4 linked regions of the Caenorhabditis elegans genome follow. The protein of the gene in region 4 interacts with the protein of the main gene of each other region in a pairwise test. Each region holds a gene or a part of one and is shown on either strand. Other genes may lie near its edges. The genes, in order: tbx-37, zip-7, hlh-25 and mls-2.

What was found.
Region 1: the proteins of mls-2 (region 4) and tbx-37 interact in a two-hybrid assay, tested with the Caenorhabditis elegans proteins (one large-scale study listed by BioGRID).
Region 2: the proteins of mls-2 (region 4) and zip-7 interact in a two-hybrid assay, tested with the Caenorhabditis elegans proteins (one large-scale study listed by BioGRID).
Region 3: the proteins of mls-2 (region 4) and hlh-25 interact in a two-hybrid assay, tested with the Caenorhabditis elegans proteins (one large-scale study listed by BioGRID).

The regions. Positions count from the first base shown.
Region 1 is NC_003281.10:11,224,287-11,228,787, forward strand, and holds tbx-37 (T-box protein 37), read right to left. Parts: upstream 2,840-4,501; 5' UTR 2,833-2,839; coding exon 2,627-2,832; intron 1,739-2,626; coding exon 1,420-1,738; intron 1,015-1,419; coding exon 598-1,014; 3' UTR 522-597; downstream 1-521. UniProt on the Caenorhabditis elegans protein: Transcription factor. Required for mesodermal induction, acting redundantly with transcription factor tbx-38. Together with tbx-38, acts by inducing cell fates in the AB lineage, thereby playing a role in development of the anterior pharynx.
Region 2 is NC_003282.8:16,502,362-16,507,589, forward strand, and holds zip-7 (BZIP domain-containing protein), read right to left. Parts: upstream 3,322-5,228; 5' UTR 3,309-3,321; coding exon 3,192-3,308; intron 3,089-3,191; coding exon 2,894-3,088; intron 1,877-2,893; coding exon 1,769-1,876; intron 1,230-1,768; coding exon 1,092-1,229; 3' UTR 549-1,091; downstream 1-548. Other genes in the region: Y51H4A.935 (uncharacterized protein), read right to left, coding at 4,259-4,294, 4,601-4,735, 4,791-4,802.
Region 3 is NC_003280.10:5,533,668-5,536,940, forward strand, and holds hlh-25 (Helix-loop-helix protein 25), read left to right. Parts: upstream 1-1,571; 5' UTR 1,572-1,572; coding exon 1,573-1,730; intron 1,731-1,786; coding exon 1,787-2,017; intron 2,018-2,064; coding exon 2,065-2,482; 3' UTR 2,483-2,738; downstream 2,739-3,273. Other genes in the region: hlh-26 (Helix-loop-helix protein 26), read right to left, coding at 1-55. UniProt on the Caenorhabditis elegans protein: Probable transcription factor. Modulates lifespan and also recovery from the developmentally arrested larval state known as dauer, perhaps acting upstream of phosphatase PTEN/daf-18.
Region 4 is NC_003284.9:4,758,289-4,763,340, forward strand, and holds mls-2 (Homeobox protein mls-2), read right to left. Parts: upstream 3,353-5,052; 5' UTR 3,325-3,352; coding exon 3,137-3,324; intron 3,081-3,136; coding exon 2,845-3,080; intron 2,607-2,844; exon of another isoform or gene 2,408-2,606; intron 1,532-2,407; coding exon 1,409-1,531; intron 1,356-1,408; coding exon 1,267-1,355; intron 1,221-1,266; coding exon 994-1,220; intron 948-993; coding exon 785-947; 3' UTR 516-784; downstream 1-515. UniProt on the Caenorhabditis elegans protein: Transcription factor that binds to the promoter of target genes. Regulates fate specification and/or differentiation of multiple cell types arising from the embryonic mesodermal (M) lineage and the ABp(l/r)paa precursors.

The sequences.
Region 1 (4,501 bases), on a different chromosome or scaffold from region 4:
AGTCTATGTAGTTTTTGTAGTCTGTGAAGTTTTAGCTTCTGGAGGGATAGTGAGTTGGGGTTAGTGTAGGGATATAGTCGGCGTACTGTAGTGGTACAATGGTGGTACGGTAGGAGTACTGTATGATTACGGTAGTCTCAGAAAAATTGGTTTTCAGCTCCAGAAGTCGGGGGCCGCGCCGGAGGTGCGGTCCACGGCTGGTAATATAAATAAATAAATTATTTAAAAATCGGTTTCATAATTTTCTCGAATTCAGAGCAACTTTTGGGAAGTTTTGCTATTTTTTTGCGTTTTTAAAAATAATTTACCCTAAATTTTGGAACTTTCCACCAACTATCGGCAATTTTTAAACGGCTTTTGCTTTACTAATTTTCCGGCAAATCCTGATTTTTTTGTAAATTTCGTAAACTTTCGCCAACTTTCGCCAACTTACAACAACTTTAGGCAACTTGCGGCAGTTTTCGCCAACTTTCGCTAACTATCTACATTCTATGAAAACAATCCTCAATTAAAAGTGCATTCAATAAATTTATTTTCAAGATCATTGTAAAAGCTAAAAATTAAAAAAAAGCGATAAATATAAATATTTAAAAAAAATCACAAATTCGGAAATCCATTATTGAGCATTTGTGGTTGTCCAATTCCACCTGACATCATCATTTGCTGCTGCCAGTACCATTGTCTCTGATAATACACATTCCAATCAAATTGAGCCCCATTTTGAGCTCCAAAATTATTGTAATTTTGAGCATTGGCACTATGAGCAGCAAACTGTGGCTGGTGGCTCTGCGGAGTCGAGAAAAAGTTTTGGTTGAAAAAATATGGGTTTTGCTGGGTATAATCCATTGGCGGGGAGATTGCTGGTGGGGTTAATGAAGAAATTGCCGAGGCGCTGCGCTTTGGCGGGGAGTTTTCCGAATTTTCAGACTCTGAAGAAAGCCGTCTCTTGCCATTTGAACGGAATCCGGAGGCGAATTTATTGTGATGGACCTTGAGTTTTGTGAGTTCTTCGTTCTGGAAAATTACATAAAATTGGTAAACATTTACCTAGACTTGTATTAAAAACTACGGGAAAAATGTATGATTTTTCAAAATTTTAAAGCTCAAATTCGAATTACTCTCGATTTTTTTTTATAACTAAACCGTTTTTTAAAGCCAAATTCGGCCATTTCGAGGTTACTGTAGCTTCGAAAGTGCGCAAACACCACAGATACACCACATCCACACGGACAAATACATTTTGTTTTACAATCGAGCCGCGACGCGACACGCAACGCGCCGTAAATCTACCCCAGATATGGCCGAGCCAAAATGCCTAGTTCGGCACAAACTCTCCCATTTCAGTTTATGAGGGAAACCAGAAATCCGTGAACTTTTTATATCATTTGTAGTTTTCGAAATATTGCTGAAAATCCCAACCTGATAAGCAGTAACAACGATAAATTGCGTAGCCTCCAAGCGAAATTCAACTCCATGAAAATCCATTTGAAATGTTCCTTTATAAGGATCCAGCTGTTTGATATGCAAAACTGGAATGTATTTGTGCAGACTTTGAGCTAAAATCAGCTTCTGATCCTTGTTTTCCGGGTCATTAGTGATTTTGAGGTGAGCAAACGAGACGGGCTCACTCATCCATTCTGTTCCAGTACGCTTGCCACGTGGATGCTCTTTGTACTGGATTGGAAGAATTGGATCACCTTTTCCGGCTTCTTTCCATTCTCCGGCATCGAACTTGTATCTGGAAATGGAAAATTAGAAACGAGATATTTTTTTTGAAAATTAGAAACGAATATTTTTATATTGATTTTGTTGCAGAAAAATGCGCTTATGGGGTTATTCAAGTATTGTCGGAAAATTAAAAAGTGTAGAAAAATTACGTCACAACTGTATTCAAGTATATAAAAACATGTATTTAAATACATTTGTGACGTCACAAATGTATTTCAATACATTTTGCTAAATTACTTGAATAACCCCATTAAAATCCGCTTTTTATCCGATTTTTCCGATTTTTAATATTGAGGGGCATTATTAGCATCAATATTTCAAAAACTACAAAAGTTATCAAAATTTTGTCAACTAAAAAACTGTAGAAAATTCAAATATCTACAAACTGTTAGTTAACTGCTTTTCTATAGGGCAATTCCTAAAAGAGTTGCGGGCGCTGGAACTTCAGAAGCTGAGAAGAAACAATTTTTGGTTCAAGTGACAGAAAATAGCCCGTAATGACCAAATATAACTGTTAAAAAAATTTTCCAACTTTTCTAAATAATTTATGATTTTTTTCTAATTTTGTCAAAAAAAAATGGGAGATTAGACTCCACTCACTTTTTCGAAATATCCTGGCAAACTTAATCCGGAAAAAATCAGTTTGAAAAATCATTTAAAAAATTTAGAAAAAATTTTAACGGCTATATTTGGTCATCACAGTTCAATATTTACGTCAATTAAAGCAAAATAAATTTACTCTATGCTATAGCAGTTTAAAATTCCAACTTTAAACTTGTATATCTCTCTAGGCATGCATCTAATCAAAAAGTTGTCAACTACCAAATTGTAGTAAATTTAATTTCCTACAATTTACTTACTAGTTGACAACTTTTTTCTATCATTTATTCCAACTCACTTAATCCCGTCAACACGTTCCAAATGAATATAAATCGAGTAGAGACTATCCGGATCCAATCCTTTGACGTTATAATCCAAATGCGGAAAAATGACTCTCCCACGCTTTCTCGTCACAATCATTTCAGTTTTCGGGTAGAACTTTTCCCAAATCTCCGGCTTGTTCAAAGAGACCTCAATTCCAGAAGGAGAGGTGCACGAGTACATAGTGATGCTGTAATAGAGGGAAATTATTATGAAAATATTAATACAAAAGATTTCAAAAGGTGAGAACGGAAGTAAAACAATAAAATAATAATAATGGCGCTAATTGTAATAAAAGTGCAAACAACACTCTCACTCATGCTCTGAAACTGAGCCGGTAAGTGGGAGGAGCGGGAAGAGGTAGATCACGCGTAGTGGTGGACACGTGGCAGTCGGGCACAACTTGGTACATACATATGAACGCATGGGGGCCCTTCTCCTAATTGAAGAACAGAGGGTTAGGCTGTATTCTTAACGGGGGAACACTGGAAAAGTGTAGTTGAAATTTATAAATATTAAAGATGGAAAACCCCCGTTAGCACTGGAAATGTTGGATTTGAAATTCGCGAGCAGATAACTTTAAACAGAAGCTCAAATTTTATTTCATACTCGAAGACGTAAAAAGAACTTTCTAGAAAATCAAAAAATGCGCGGAAATTCGAATTTTATAGCATTTTTTTAAACCTTTTTTTGGTTGAAACCAGAGGTGTGCGGCAAATCTTAAAATTTGCCGAGCTGGACAAATTCAGCAAATTCGGCAAATGTGTTTTTTGGAGAAATAAAAATACGGAATTCTTAGCAAACGTTTGGTTTTTCAATAAGGTTAGTGTAGTCTGCCTGCACAAAATTTAAAGTAATTCAATTTTAATGATATTTTATTTTCCAGAATTTTTGGCATAAAGTTATTAGCTGGTTTTTTCACATTTTTACACCCTATAAGTGTCAATTTACTGAACTTCTAGCCAAAAAATTTTTAACAAAAAAATTCAAAATAATTCACACCATAGTAATAATGATGAGCTACACCACGAATTAGCAAAAAAGACGAAAAAATACCAAAAAAAAAATTGAAAACTCACCAAACTGTGAGCCAATATTACTGTCAGAATCCAGAACGCCTCTTTCACCTCCCACTGAGCATCTTTGTGCTCCTGTAGTCTTTAACAATCCAGAATGTGTAGTTCACACTTCGAAAGTATACCTCCACCTACACCTCGACACCTCACACTTTAGTGATAGCGGTGCGAATTGGCTCTGAAGGAGAAGATGTGTCGTGCTCAGCGGGAGGGCGGGAGAATGATTTAGAGAGGAGTATCATGGGATTTGTCAGAGATTTTTCAACAAAAATTATAGTGAAAAAATTTACAATATTTTATTAGTTGGCAACTTTTTAGTAGCTTCTACAGCAGGAGTGTCCAGAAAACTTGCCAAATTTGCCGAATCCGGCAAATTTCGTAAAAGTATATTTTTGATATTCGCCGCACACCACAAAAAATTGGATTTTTTTAATTTGACAAAAACTATTGATTTTGTACTAAAAATTCTAGTAAAATAACATAAAATTTAATTATTTTGAATTCTATGTAGGCCGACCACATGGACGTTATTCAAAAATCAATCGTGTGCTAAGAACTCCGTAATTTTGGTGCTCCAAAAAAATATCAGAAATTTTCTAATTTTTAGGAGTTCGCTCATCACGGCAAATTTGCTAAATTTGCCGAATTTGCCAAATTTGCCGCACACTTCTGCCCTACAGCAATCGCGTGACAGGAGTTATAAGTTTTAAGCCTTTCCTCATTTTTTTCCAATTGAAACTTGCATATGCAATGCAATTTCTGTTAATTAACAATTT
Region 2 (5,228 bases), on a different chromosome or scaffold from region 4:
CTTCCTTTCCTGCTGAAAAATGCATTCTAAGCGCTGAAAAATCGGCGGAATTATGCAATTTTAGTGATTTTTAGATGTTTAGACCCGAAAAAATCATGAAAAAGCTATAGAAAAAATGAAAAAATGCAGAAAATCAGAGAAAACGAGCGAAAAATAATTTGAAAATGAGTTTTTCTGTGCAATTTGCCGTGACGGTGTTTGCACACGACGAAATCTACCGTACCCCCCGGGAAAATATTCAAAACTGGTTTTTCTTGGAATTTCGAGTTTTTTCGACTTTTTCCAGCATTTTGAACGAGTTTTTTGGGAAATTTAACGAGAAATTACTGAAAACGTTATATATTCCGTCGAAAAAGTAGTAAAAATCACTCAGGTGATGCTTTGCCGGGAAAATAATGGAAAAATCATTTTTCCGTCCAATTTTAGGGTACAATTAGCTGAAAAATTGAATTTCAGCATTAATTCTGGTCAAAAGCGGGAGGAAAATCCACGAATACCTCGGAAAATGAGCAAAATTCAGAAATTTCCGGGAAAAAGTCGAGTAAGCTGAAAAACTGTTTTATTATTAGAGAATTTGGATTTTAAAGTTGCTTTAGCTCGAAAATCAGCGAATTTAGCTTGAAAAACATGCCCAGAAAATGCCCAGAAAATCGGAGGAAAATGGGGAAAAATCTGAATACACCTATTTTCTGAGATTTTTCTCATTTTTTCGTGCGGAAAGTGTCAAATTACAGTCGGTACAGCTTCGAAGAGTGAAAAATCGACAAAATACAATCAAAAACTAACAAAAATTAAAGAAAAAACGCGAAAATTCGGAGAAATTAGCGAAAACTGAGCGAAAAATAATTTGAAAATGAGTTTTTCTGTGCATTCTGCCGTGACGGTGTTTGCAGACTCGGAATTGCTTACCGTAGTCGCTCATTTATTTTTTTTGAAAAAATGCATTTTTCTTCAAAAATAGCTATATTTTTACAGAAAATTACAAAAAAAAAGTGACGCAATGAGAGGGTGGTGTGTGGAAATTCGATACAGAAGCAAGGATTTGAATGTGTGTGCAAGAATGAGATGATTTTGTGTGGGAGGGGAGAAGCTTAATAACTCGGCATATTCGCCATGGCAATCGGGTCCATAGTGTCTATAGTGCCCGGATTTTGCAGGAGCAAATGTTGTCTCATCGATTCGTTTTGTAGTTGGAGCTGTTGGACGTAGACTCGCAAGCATTGATTTTCCTGGAGAAAAAATAATTATTAATTGATTGATAAAAATTTTATGCCGTCAGAACTAAGCCTTTTATCAGAGTTACTCTTTATTTTTAGTCCGAAAAAAAAGTAAAGTTAAACTTTAACGAAACAAAAAAGAAAAGCCACTCCCTGGAATTGATCCAACGAGTGCTCACACCGAACTGCGTCCACTACCTACTGCTCCAAACCAACAAATCTTTCCAACACCATTCTTGGTGAACATATCGAAAAGTGGAACACCATTAAGGGAACAAACGTTACTGTACGTGTGCACTAGAGCGCGTTTGCAAAACTATCAAAAAGTACTTTTAAAAGTGTCGGTTATCTACAAAAAGCCATCTGATATTCCCGAAATTTATTGAAAAATTGGGAAAAGTCGGCGTGGGCGCGTTCTCAAAGTTATTGCGTAGCCAGGCTGACACCTGTTGACTGATGACGTCATCAATTAAGCCCTTTTTTGGAAAAAAAAACCCGCCAAAAAAAATGATGCAAAGGATTATTATCTATGGGAAATTTTGAAAACGTACCCTCTCCAAATATGTTACACGAACACTATTGTCCTGATCGACTTTCTTGCGAGATTCTCTGGATTTACGGGCGGCTTCGTTGTTTCGGCGGCGCCGGTCGAGATAGGCCTGGAAAATTGGATTTATTCGAGAGGATTTTGGACTATTAGCTGTCGATTTACGGAGCTCGTGTACTCCTCGTGGAAGAGTTTACACTGGTTTTTTGAAGAAAAAAAAACGGCTGAAAAGCTTGATTTTGGCCAATTTTCACTGATTTTTGTTGGATTTTGATGGTAAATTGTCATTTTATGACATAATTTATAGTTTTTAACTCAAAAATTGCCGATTCAAACGTTAAATACAAGAAAAATCAGCAAAATTGGCATAAAAATACTTTTTTCAAACGAAAACCCAGAGAAATCAACTCCACGAGGAGTACACGGCCTCCGTAAATCGACACGTGGCTAGCTATTAATTCATACGACTTTTTAAATTCATACGACTTTTTAATTCATACGCCTTTTTAAGAAAAATACGGCTAAAAAACTTTATTTTGGATCTTTTTTGCTGATTTTTTTTGTATTTTACATTAAAATTGTCAACTTATCTCGATTTAAATGCAAAATACGAGAAAAATCAGCAAAATTGGTCCAAAATAACGTTTTTTCACTGAAAAATCAGAAAAAAACTCTATTTTCAGTTTAAAAAAATCAATTTTTCAACTTCGTGGCAGTGAAATTAGAGAAAAAACTCGGCCACCACTTTGAAAACCAGCGGAAATTAAAAAAAACAGTTCAATTTTCATAGCAGAACACGGTTTTCTGGCCTCATAAATTGAAATGGAAGAGTTTGCAGAACTAGGCCATTTTGGCTCGGCCATATCTGGGATAGATTTACGTCGCATTGCGTGTCGCGTCGCGGCTCGGATTTGTCCGTGTGGAGTACACGACACTCTCCCACTCGTTGTCCGGCGGGCGATTGTCAATGGAGCGCGAAACATTCAATGAGGAAAACCAGAACCCTGTGGCAGAAGGAATCCAGGAAACCTCGGCCGCCATTTTTTCTCGGCCACATCTAACACTAGCAGATCGGCCGTTTTTTTCTGGTGGCCGAGTTTTCTCATTTCTCGGCCATTTAATCTCTTACCTCATCCTTTTGATTTTCCGGCACCGGAACCGGTTTTTTCTTCTTACTCCCACTGCTGCCACTCTGCTGATTTTGAGACGACGTGGTGGATGACGTGGAAGACGATGACGGGGAAAAAGATGACGTGGCATGGGGATTCGCGTATGGCGCGAAATGTTGAGCAAAAAATGGGAGAGCAGTGGCTGCGGAGTAGTTCTAAGAAAAAAATTTAATTTTTTGTTAAAAAGCATTTTTGAAACAGTAAAAAAATTTTTTTACTTTTTCAAATTTCAGAAAAATTCCAAAAAAAATTACAAACCTTATCAAAAGCTCCTGCTCCATACGGATTCTGTGCGTACATCTGATTGAATGCCTTTATAGAATCCGAATCACACATTCTCGAGGCAGCCAGCTGCTGTTGAATGTCTGTCATCATCTGGAAATAATCTGGAAATTGGTGGAGAATTGGTGGAAAATGGCTAGAAATTTAGGAAAAAGCTTCCAAAGAACACAGTAATAAGTTGAAAAAAATTATAATAAAACAAATTTTTTTGAAACAGAATTTTTTTTAAATTTTCAAAACCAAAACCGTATTACTCAACAGTTACCAAACTATTACACCGGAACTTATGAGCTACCGCATGCTGAGAAAAAGTCTGCACGCAAACAGGACACCTCTACAGGCCCTACTAGACCCGCCTCCTCCCCCATTTGCCCACGGGGTCTCTAAAGACGGGCGGCTCTTTTTATGATGATTTGAACTGTAATGGCGCAATCGTTGCGTCGTTGTTCTCTAACTAACTAACTACCGTCTGCTGTTAGTTGAATAATGTACCGCAAAAGAGATTGGTGGTGGTCCTAAATGTATAACGAGGTGGCAATAGGTGGGCATGTCTTGGAGTTCCGTGGGGAAAACTGGGCATAACTTGAAAAGTGTAAGAGCTAATAAAAAGTTGTCAACCAACAAAATGTTTAAAATCAATTTTGCAATATTTTCATAGTTAAAATCTTTTTGATAACTTCAATAGCTAAGGAGATATAAGCCTTCAAACTTAAAAATCGGTAATTTTAGTTGGAGTTTTGCGCGAAAAACTACCATAACTGAAAAAGTATCGGAGCTAGTGAAAAGTTGCCAACTAAAAAAATGTTCAACATAAATTTATAAATATTTTCCCAGTTGACAACTTTTTGATAGCTACAATGGCTGAGGAGATACTACTTCTTCTGTAAAAAACGCTCGTACTTCAACTTGCTAACAATTTTCCCTTGTAAATTCCACTTGTTAAATGCTTCACATGAAACAGGCACCAATTCAAAAATTCAAAAATTAACACAAAAATCCCAATAAAACTGGTTTATTCAAGTGAAAAATGAGAATCCTGAAAATTATTGTGGCACGGCGAGCTCCTCGTAGTTGCCTTCCTGAAATCAGAATTGTTTCTTTAAAAGTAGGACCTTCCTCATTGCATTATTCGCGCTCTATTGACAATCGCCTGCCGGACAACGCGTGGGAAAGTGTCGTGTACTTCACACGGACAAATCCGAGCCGCGACGCGACACGCAACGCCCCGTAAATCTACTGAGCCAAAATGGCCTAGTTCGGCAAAACTCTTACATTTCAGAATAGGAGGGAAGGCAGAAACCTGTGGTACGTATCCCAAATCAGCAAAATTAATTAAACAATGCGTTGCGGTCGCGTTGCGGTCGCGTCGCGGTCACACAACTCACAGTTTCATCCTTCTTCTCCTTTGGAGCCCCTAACTTTGATTTATTTGTTCCTTCCGGAGAATTTGCTGACTTCTTCTTCTTTCCGCCACAATTCATCACCAGAGATCCGAAAATCACAAGAATTGGAAGCACGAGCTGTAAATTTCGGAGCATTTTTTGCAGGCAGGCAGGCAGGCAGGCTTAAACTGACTTGTGCAATCATTTGGCTTCTTCTTCGTTTCAGTGGAATGGAATTTTTAAACAAAATTCGAAACTGATTTTTTCGATTATTGATTTTTAGTTGGCGACTTTGAAAAAAAAACACGTTTTTTTTGAAAATTATTTCCCAGTTTCACGAAAAAATTAAAATTATTTTCAACATTTTTTTCCATTCAATACGTTTTCACGCGTTTCCCCCGATAATATTCAAATTTCCGTATGTCAGAATAGCGGTAAATTCAAAGAAATTACGCAAGTTTTTGGGGTATGTGTACTTGAACATACGCACACACAGATTATTGCGTTACCACATTAGGACCACGGGGGTATAATGAGTTGGGGGGTGTTGGCCTTGTGGCCGTGGAGGTGAAAAACCTCGGCCACTACCAACTTCTAATACGTCTATCTTGGTTCCGGATAAATTTGGAAA
Region 3 (3,273 bases), on a different chromosome or scaffold from region 4:
GATGTCCATGTGAAGAAGGGGACCCAGATGATGACGAAGTTGGAGAGGAAGACATTATGAGTCAAGGATCTGAAATATAATAATAATAGTTAACAAAAGATTATTAGACAAAAACCGTAATAGGGAGACTACAAAATATGAAAGGCAGTTCAAATTAAAGACTTATGAAAACGTTGAAAAGAACCAACCTTACAGTTCAAGTATGCAAAAACATAATGACTACCTTCCATTATATGTTCGAGTTTTTTCTTCAATAGGCGGGGATTCTCATCGTTTGGAATATCATGGGAATCTGATATCCATACCTTTATTACGCGTGGTTCTCATGGTGCATCGAGTACCACATCTCCAGTTCTTGCCGTGGCAGCCTGAGAACCCAAGCAATGCGAAGGGTCACAACCTGAACGAAGTTATTGATTGGTGGGAAAAAATAATCCTGAAATGAATATTTGGTAAAATCGGAGCTCGATGGAATTTAAAAATGTAAATATATAATACAAAAGAAGAATTTAGAATATTTAAAATAAAAATGCATATTAATTAACTCAAATAATCAAATACATGAATTAGGTTATAGTATTTTTCCTTTACATGATAGTTTAAAATATTTATATCAAGCTGTTCTAGAAATGTTTTAAAAAACAATATCCAAGTTTAAAAAAATCTCAATTTATTTTTAATTTACGAGGTTTCCATCTCAGCGTGTGACACTTTTCTTATAACTTGGCACCTACATGTATCCGGTGTGAATTTTTTCTGTTGCTGTGTGAGCATTTCCAGCAAACCGGAGTTCTCAAAATCAGTAAGGTTATATGTTAAAATTAAACTGGCTTATTATTTTCAGAAAATGAAAAACTGCCATATTTGAGTGATAAACTGAATGAATCCGTAAAATTTGGTAGTTGTATGTTCTATGCATTATCATATACATCAATCTGGTAATTTTTATTAGAATCAGATCTTGAATATTGGAAACTTTGCGAATTAAAGACAAATAATGATTAGGCAAGCTGATTAAATGAGTGATAAAAATGGTTAATGTCAATTCACAGTCTCCGCCGAAATTTCCCAGGCTGTACCCAATCAATATCCAGTCGTGGCAAAACTGGAGATGTCCTGACTCGTTCTCATGAGAACCTCACTGATGAACCATGGGAACCCGTGATGGGGACTGTAAAAATAGAGATTTCAGAATAATTCCCATGGCTCCAAACGCTTGATACAAAGCTCCACCCTCTGAACAATAATGGAACTATAAAAGGTAACCATTTATTCATTGTTCATTTACTTTCTTAGTGGATCACTGGTCTGCTGGTTTAGTATACTTTTTGATAATTGTAACATCAGGAAAGTGTACTGATTTTGATCAATTACTTTTAAAGCATTCAGTGAACTGTATACTTCTAGAAAAACAGTACGAGTTATCTCACTAAACTAAATCAATTTGTGCTGCTTTCTTGGTCCCATTTATCTGTTTTGTCACAATTATTCCTTTTTAACGGCTCATCTTGAATTTTTATAAATTCTACATTTCTTATTGATTTTAAATTAATGAAAATTATTAAATTTCAGATGCCAAAAGTTATTCAGTCTTCAATGAGCGATTATCGTTCCGTCCCATACAATCAAACTCCAAAATCAGCTTCTGAACGGAAAAGAAGAAATATTACAAACGAGTTGATTAACGAATGCAAGACGATTGTTCAAAAATCAGAAGAAGAACATATATCGTAAGTTTAAATACTCTGTTAGCTTAAAATAGTTATTAAACTAATTCATTTTTTAGACAAGAAGTAGTTCTCTTCCGAATTGTGAAACTTGTGACTGGAGTTAATCTGGAATCTAATTTCTCATCGAATGACCTCTCCGAATCTACAAGACGGAAGTTTGATACTGAATCCGAAAGAAGAAAAGTGAAGACTGAACGTGAAAAGATTCGAAGAAAGAAACAAGATGACTGTTATGCTGAATTGAAATTCTTCATTTTGAACAAACAAATGGGAAGTTACGAGCAACGGTAAGAGTTTCATTATGGCTAATAAAAATTCAAAAAATTATTTTCAGATTAAAACTTGAACGGATCACAATTCTAGAAATCATCATTGATTACATTAAACACAATTCCGATCTTCTGTATCCAGAAACAATTCCCCAAATACTTCCTCTTTTAGCTGGAAAATCAACTGCTACTTGTGAGAACAAAGAGAATGAAAAGCCAAAAACACGAATGGAAGTGAAGGATCTCTTCCCAAGATTGACGTTTCAAGAAGTTCAAGAATCCCCAACATCTACTTCTCCATTGCTCACATTTCCATGTATTCCAATGATCCCAACTACTCAGTTCAATGTCTTGTCAAACTACAACACCGTTCCATCAATATTTTCTGCTCCCCTCCGATTCATTCTTCCATCACTTCAAATCTTAACACCAGAAACTAGTGACGAGGAAGAAAATGAAGAAACCCTCGATATAATTAACTAGTCTATCGATCTCCTGCAAATTTACAATTTCTGAAAAAAAACTTATTATACTCTATTCTAAGGCTGTCAAAACTTTCCTGGTTTTCTTTCATTATATTTTTCACATCCCCGTAATCTCAAATTATGCCACATTCACAATATCAACTTGTCATTGTTTCATTATGTCACCAAACTTTTTGAATGTTTATCTAATGCCAATATATTGAAAATGTATTATACTTATGATAAGCCAAATTCTAATAAATTGAAATTTTGTTTTCACATTTCAACATTAATTTGTTCATTCTTGCCACATACCAAACCTATTGACCTACACCTGAGTATTGTATTAGAGAATATTCAATGGTGCGCTCTTCAGAAAATTCAAAAAATTTAAACTTACGTCAAAGTTTTGTGGGATGTCCCATTCTGGAAAAAAAACACATAGGGAAAATTGAAAAAGTGGCGATAAACTTTTCCATACGGGGAAGTTCTAAAATTAAAGCTTTTCGATGTTTTCTTAAATGAAGCCGGTCAGCAGATTGTCGACATCATCCGGAAACATCCGATATTCAGTGAAGCTGGGACAGGATGTCATTTTTGAGGTTTTTTGAAAAATTAATAATCTTCCCTACTAAATCATTTGAAAATTTAATTTTTTCGGAAATTGCAATCATTTTAAAAATTAGTTTCTAAATTTCCCAAAAAAAGATAAATAAATAAAACCGAAAAAACTTTGATTTTCGCTGCGAGACCCGTAGATGGACAACAAATTATTTTGCCATTTTATGGGCGTGGCTTTCCCCTTTTTAT
Region 4 (5,052 bases):
TTTTTGAAATTTCTAGAAATTTTTTTTGGAGTTCTTCAAAACAGTTCTTCAAAAATTTCTCGAGCGTTTTTGTACTGTTTAAGACAGAGATTTCTAATACTTTTGACTCTCCAATATTATTTCAAAGCATAACAACTTACTTTTTTCAAAGTTGCCTACTGAACACCTACACTACACTACCCTAATTCATTCTACTAATTTTAACCATTAACCTTTCAAAACACAACAAAAACTCTTTAAAAAAACAGATACTACATACAAAGGAGACAAACTATTATTTTATATCCAAGTAATACAATTCAAATTTTTGGAAATTTTGTAAGTTTTCGTTCTTCAAGCAGAATAAAAGTTTTCTGATATTTCTGCAGTTGATGGAATTTGAACATTTGTTTTGAAATTTCATCTTAAATATTAGTATATGTATGTATGTGAAAAGAGTAGCTTTGCTACCATCATAATCTGTTGGAAAATGGTCTTTTACACATCAAAAAGTTTCTATCATTTTTGTATTGTATGTATTCATAATGTAAATTTATTACTCAATAAATAATTATTTAGTGAAAGAGAAAGGATTGATGAACTGAATTATCATGTGCTCGAAGATAGTTTATAAAATACACAGAATGACACATAATAAACATATAGGGTATGAAAAATAAAATATATACGAAGGGCGATGAATCAAAAATCAAGTGTGAAGAGATAGAGTCAGTGATGAGATGAAAAATGTGTTGAGGTTGAGTTGAATTGCACAGGGGGTGAGTCTAAATTAGTAATAAGGTGTTCACATGTTCTGCGCTTGAGCCGACGCATTCAAGTTTTGCTGTGCCTGAAGTGTACCAAAACCGAAAAGAAACCGCGCGGCGGCAGTTGCAGAAGCATCCATTGGAGATGAAATCATATTTCTCATGTTCACACCAGCACTGGTCGTTGGGATCGTAAGGATTCTGAAATATAAAATTTAGAATTAATTTCATGAAACAGTAAACTCACGGAGATGTAAGAGCTGTGGTTGCTGGAATCGAAAACACATTAGCTCTATGCATCTGCAGGGAAATGTTCGTGTCATCAGTCTGAGCTTGTCTCTTGAACTTGTTTCGTCGATTTTGGAACCAAATTTTCACTTGGGTCTCCGTCAAGTGCAGCTTCTGTGCTAAATTTGATCTCTCTTGACTGCTCAAATATCTTTTGCATTCGAACATCATTTCCAATTGGGACACCTGAATGAAAGTATTATTTGAGTTCGGAATGTACAATTTCTGATACCTGACTCCTGCTGAAGACGGTTCTGGTTTTCTTCTTTCTATTTTGTGATGGATCGCTAGAGTTGGCTTCATCATCGCTTCCACGGCCAACTGAAATACAGTTTATGGACACTTTTGTGGACACATTTTTAAATTCAACTCACTATCATCGTCATCTTCTGCGTCAGACTCCAGCGGGCTGCCACCAGTGGAATCCCTGGTCTCCCCATCTTTTCCCTCCGATTTTTCATCCTTCTCTTCTCCATTGTCTGATTGAATATTAACATCTGTAAGGAAACACATTTTCAACAATTACTTAATTCCTGACAGGCATATTAACCATATTGCATTAAGATACTTCCATTGACAGGCCACAATTATAACACATCCCCCCGTGGTCCATCGGTTAATTATCTCAATGGACGGGGGATTACTAGGACACGGGTGTCGGTCAAAATGACACCTTTATAAATAGATGTCTCTATATTAAGAACTACCTTTAGTTTTCAATACTGATTCTTCGTTGACTAATTAGAATCTCTTAAAAACCGAAGTGTAGCCGCTTACGTTACGAATATTGACGACTAAAAATGTGCGCTCATGCGTATGCCTGATTTTTCATGCGAAATGGAAAAGGCTCATTAGAATAAGAGATTTCTATTGCTGTTTTGATCATTTCACATGTTATCAAAAACAAATCAGTGGCAAAACCACATGTATCAACAGAGTCAGCGTAATAAAACAGCGTGATGATGTTATTTTACAATACGCTGATTTGCTTTGCCAAATCAACTGAGCGGAAAACTTAATGGCTTAAAGTTGGACCTGTGAGGGGAAATAATTAATCAGCATTTTTGTAATGTTAAAATGGCTTAATATCAAAATAAAACTGTTTTTAAAAAAATTTTGAGCCAAAAATTAGGTAAAAGCGGACTATGAGTTTTCAATGTTCTTTGACTAAAAATAAATTTTATTTAAAACATTTTTGAAATGTTTTAGTATGACATTTGGTAATTCCCTACAGGCCACATTTCATTATTAAAAACTTTGAATCTGAAAAAAAAAGTTGTTTCTCTATAATTTTTAATTGAATGTATTTATTTTTAGAATCAAAATAAAAGTCAAGGACCTGACACGCGTCACCGAGCTCATGGGGTTTAGTATTCTCACGTTATTAACTTATTGCTGTTTGAGCACATCCTTTCAAGAATCAATGAATACCGCGTGTGGTGTTACCCAACAAAAGATAATTAGTTGAGTTCAACACAGGCGAGCGATTCTGATTCTTATCCTAAGAAAGGAACTGCATCCGCCGACAACCTCCCCCCTCCTTTTTCCATATGTTCATCCAATACCGTTGTTCAACTTGTTAATGAGTCCAGACTTGGCTAATTCGAGACCATACAATAACAATGGGTCAGAAAATGAATTAGTTACTGTATTAAGGGGTGTTCTGAGATTCGGAGAATAAAGAGAACCGACCGAAAATTATAGTGGTAAACGGAACACTGTTTTGAATGAAATGAAATATGGTAGGATTCTTTCACACATTAACTAATGACAGACTAAGGAGAGAGGAAGTTGGGTAATATCTACTGACCTGGGTTGCTCATGTTTTTGAAGTGCATTAGTTGAGCAGTCGGAAGTCCAAAGAATGGGAACATGGTAAGTGGTGAGATCATGTTTTGTTGATTGCCGACGTTCAAGAAAGTTTGCTGAAGTTGCAGGAGGGCAGAAATCGGATTCATTTTTGGATCAAAATTGAAATTAAACGCCGTTTGCTCAATTTCATTGGTGCTATCCTCTGAAGATGCCGACGGGGAACTTTGTGTAGTTCTGAAAGTTTAATTTTATACAAATAAAAGGAAAATAAATGAAAATGTTCAACTTACGGTTTTCTGTCATCTTCCAGCAACTCAGAAATATTGAATTTAATCTTATTATCTGAACTTGGCTTCATCTCTTCTTCCTCTTCTTCCTCCATCAGTTCAATCTTTGGAAGTTGTGACATTTTTTCGAGACGTTCTTGCGAGCTCATTGTCGTCATATCAATAGGGAGATTCATAACTGAAGTCGGCATGTTTGAGAAAAATAGAGTCAACTGAGGGCTAATCGAGAATACTAATGAGTAGCCCCGCCCCACCATTCAAGACTACGGTAGCTGGGCGAGCGTTCGCGGATAAATGGGGTGTAGGAAATGGGAAGGAGAGGAGTAATAATGAAATGATGACCAAGTCAAATTATTGTCTTTGGTAGTGTTAAGAAAACGGATATCAAAACTATATAAACAATGGTTGACCAATAGGAAAACGACTATGAATACAGTTGAGAGAAGTTTAGCAGAATCTGAGGATCTCGAAGAACTCCCTGCTTGCTTTTCCGCTAATGTGTTAAGTGATCAAGCAAAACAGAGATGTTTCTAGGCAATACGCCCTGTCCAACTTAATGTCTAATTCGTTTAAGTGGATTACTATGTTTGGTTAACACCATTAATCACAACAATTAACCGTTTTTTTTCCGCTGAGCGACTCTATCAATTGTTTCAAAATTGATGATCAATTGATTTTGTAATGTAGGTTCAATGTATATTCCAACGAGAATGCCAAAAAGCTAATCAGTTATGCTTTAAGCAAAACATTATTAATTTAAATATGAAATTCGAGATGTTAGTGGATCGTTGTTGCTATGCGAACGCACGGGTCAAGCAGCAGCTTATCCGCGGTTAGTGTCGAATTCGGAGTGCAAAAGGTAATAATGAGGAATGATGGAAACAGGAGAGATATCTAATATAGGCTCGATGAGCAAAACACTCAGGATCATTGTTCACTTGAAATGTGTTCGAATACCGTAACTCCTTGAATAGTACTGTACCACACTATTTGAAACGTTATATCTGTGTTCAGTATCAAAGATAAGAAACTACAAACCGCTAAAAAAAATTGACAAGTACTTTGTTCGTGTTAAGCTGGTAAAGATGGAAACTGGGTTGAAATCCTAATAGGGAAAATACGGTAAATGGTTTGATATTTTGATGTACAGGAAGTTGAAAAGAGTACTGCCAATATTGTGATGACATCTTTTAAACTACTTTTTTCCATACTTTCCAAAAAAATCATTTTTGGCTGAAAAAAGAACACTCGTATTACTGTTAATTTTCAGAATGGGGGTTTAATTTACAAATGAAAATTTTAGACGAGATTTCTGATACCTTAGAGAACCCATGCAAAACTGAGGGAAAAGAGATGAATCAAGAGTCGATGGAAGTGAATCGGAAACTATCACATGAAGTCTTATGAAGCTTGAAAAAAAGTTCGAAGCAAACAAGTAATCACGAAATGTGTTTTTTTTCCTGATTAACCCTTGAGAGTCCAATGACGAACATTTGAAAAAAAAATCAAGTTTTAGTTTTGATCAAACGCAAAATAAAACGAGTTGAGGTGAGCACAGCCGTATTGAATGAACGTCCACAGCTCCACCCACTTCCATGATATACGGTAATTGGGACCCAAGACGCTTACCCGCCCGCTCTCATGTGTTTGTGTGCGCGCTCGTTTGGTTTCAAATAGGGAGGGGGGAGAAAATAATTCAACACAATCTCATTAAAACCGGTAATAGTAAAATAAGGCGACGACGTATTTGTACAGAATAATATGGTCGAGGAAAAACATGCACACACGTAATGGCTGATAGTAGTGGCGTTCATAGAAATGAGCTGAAAATGAGCAGAAATGAAATGAAAGATGAGGATGAGAATGAGAAAATGGAATTGATATTTTCCACATTATTTCCCATTATTCTCTTAGAGGTT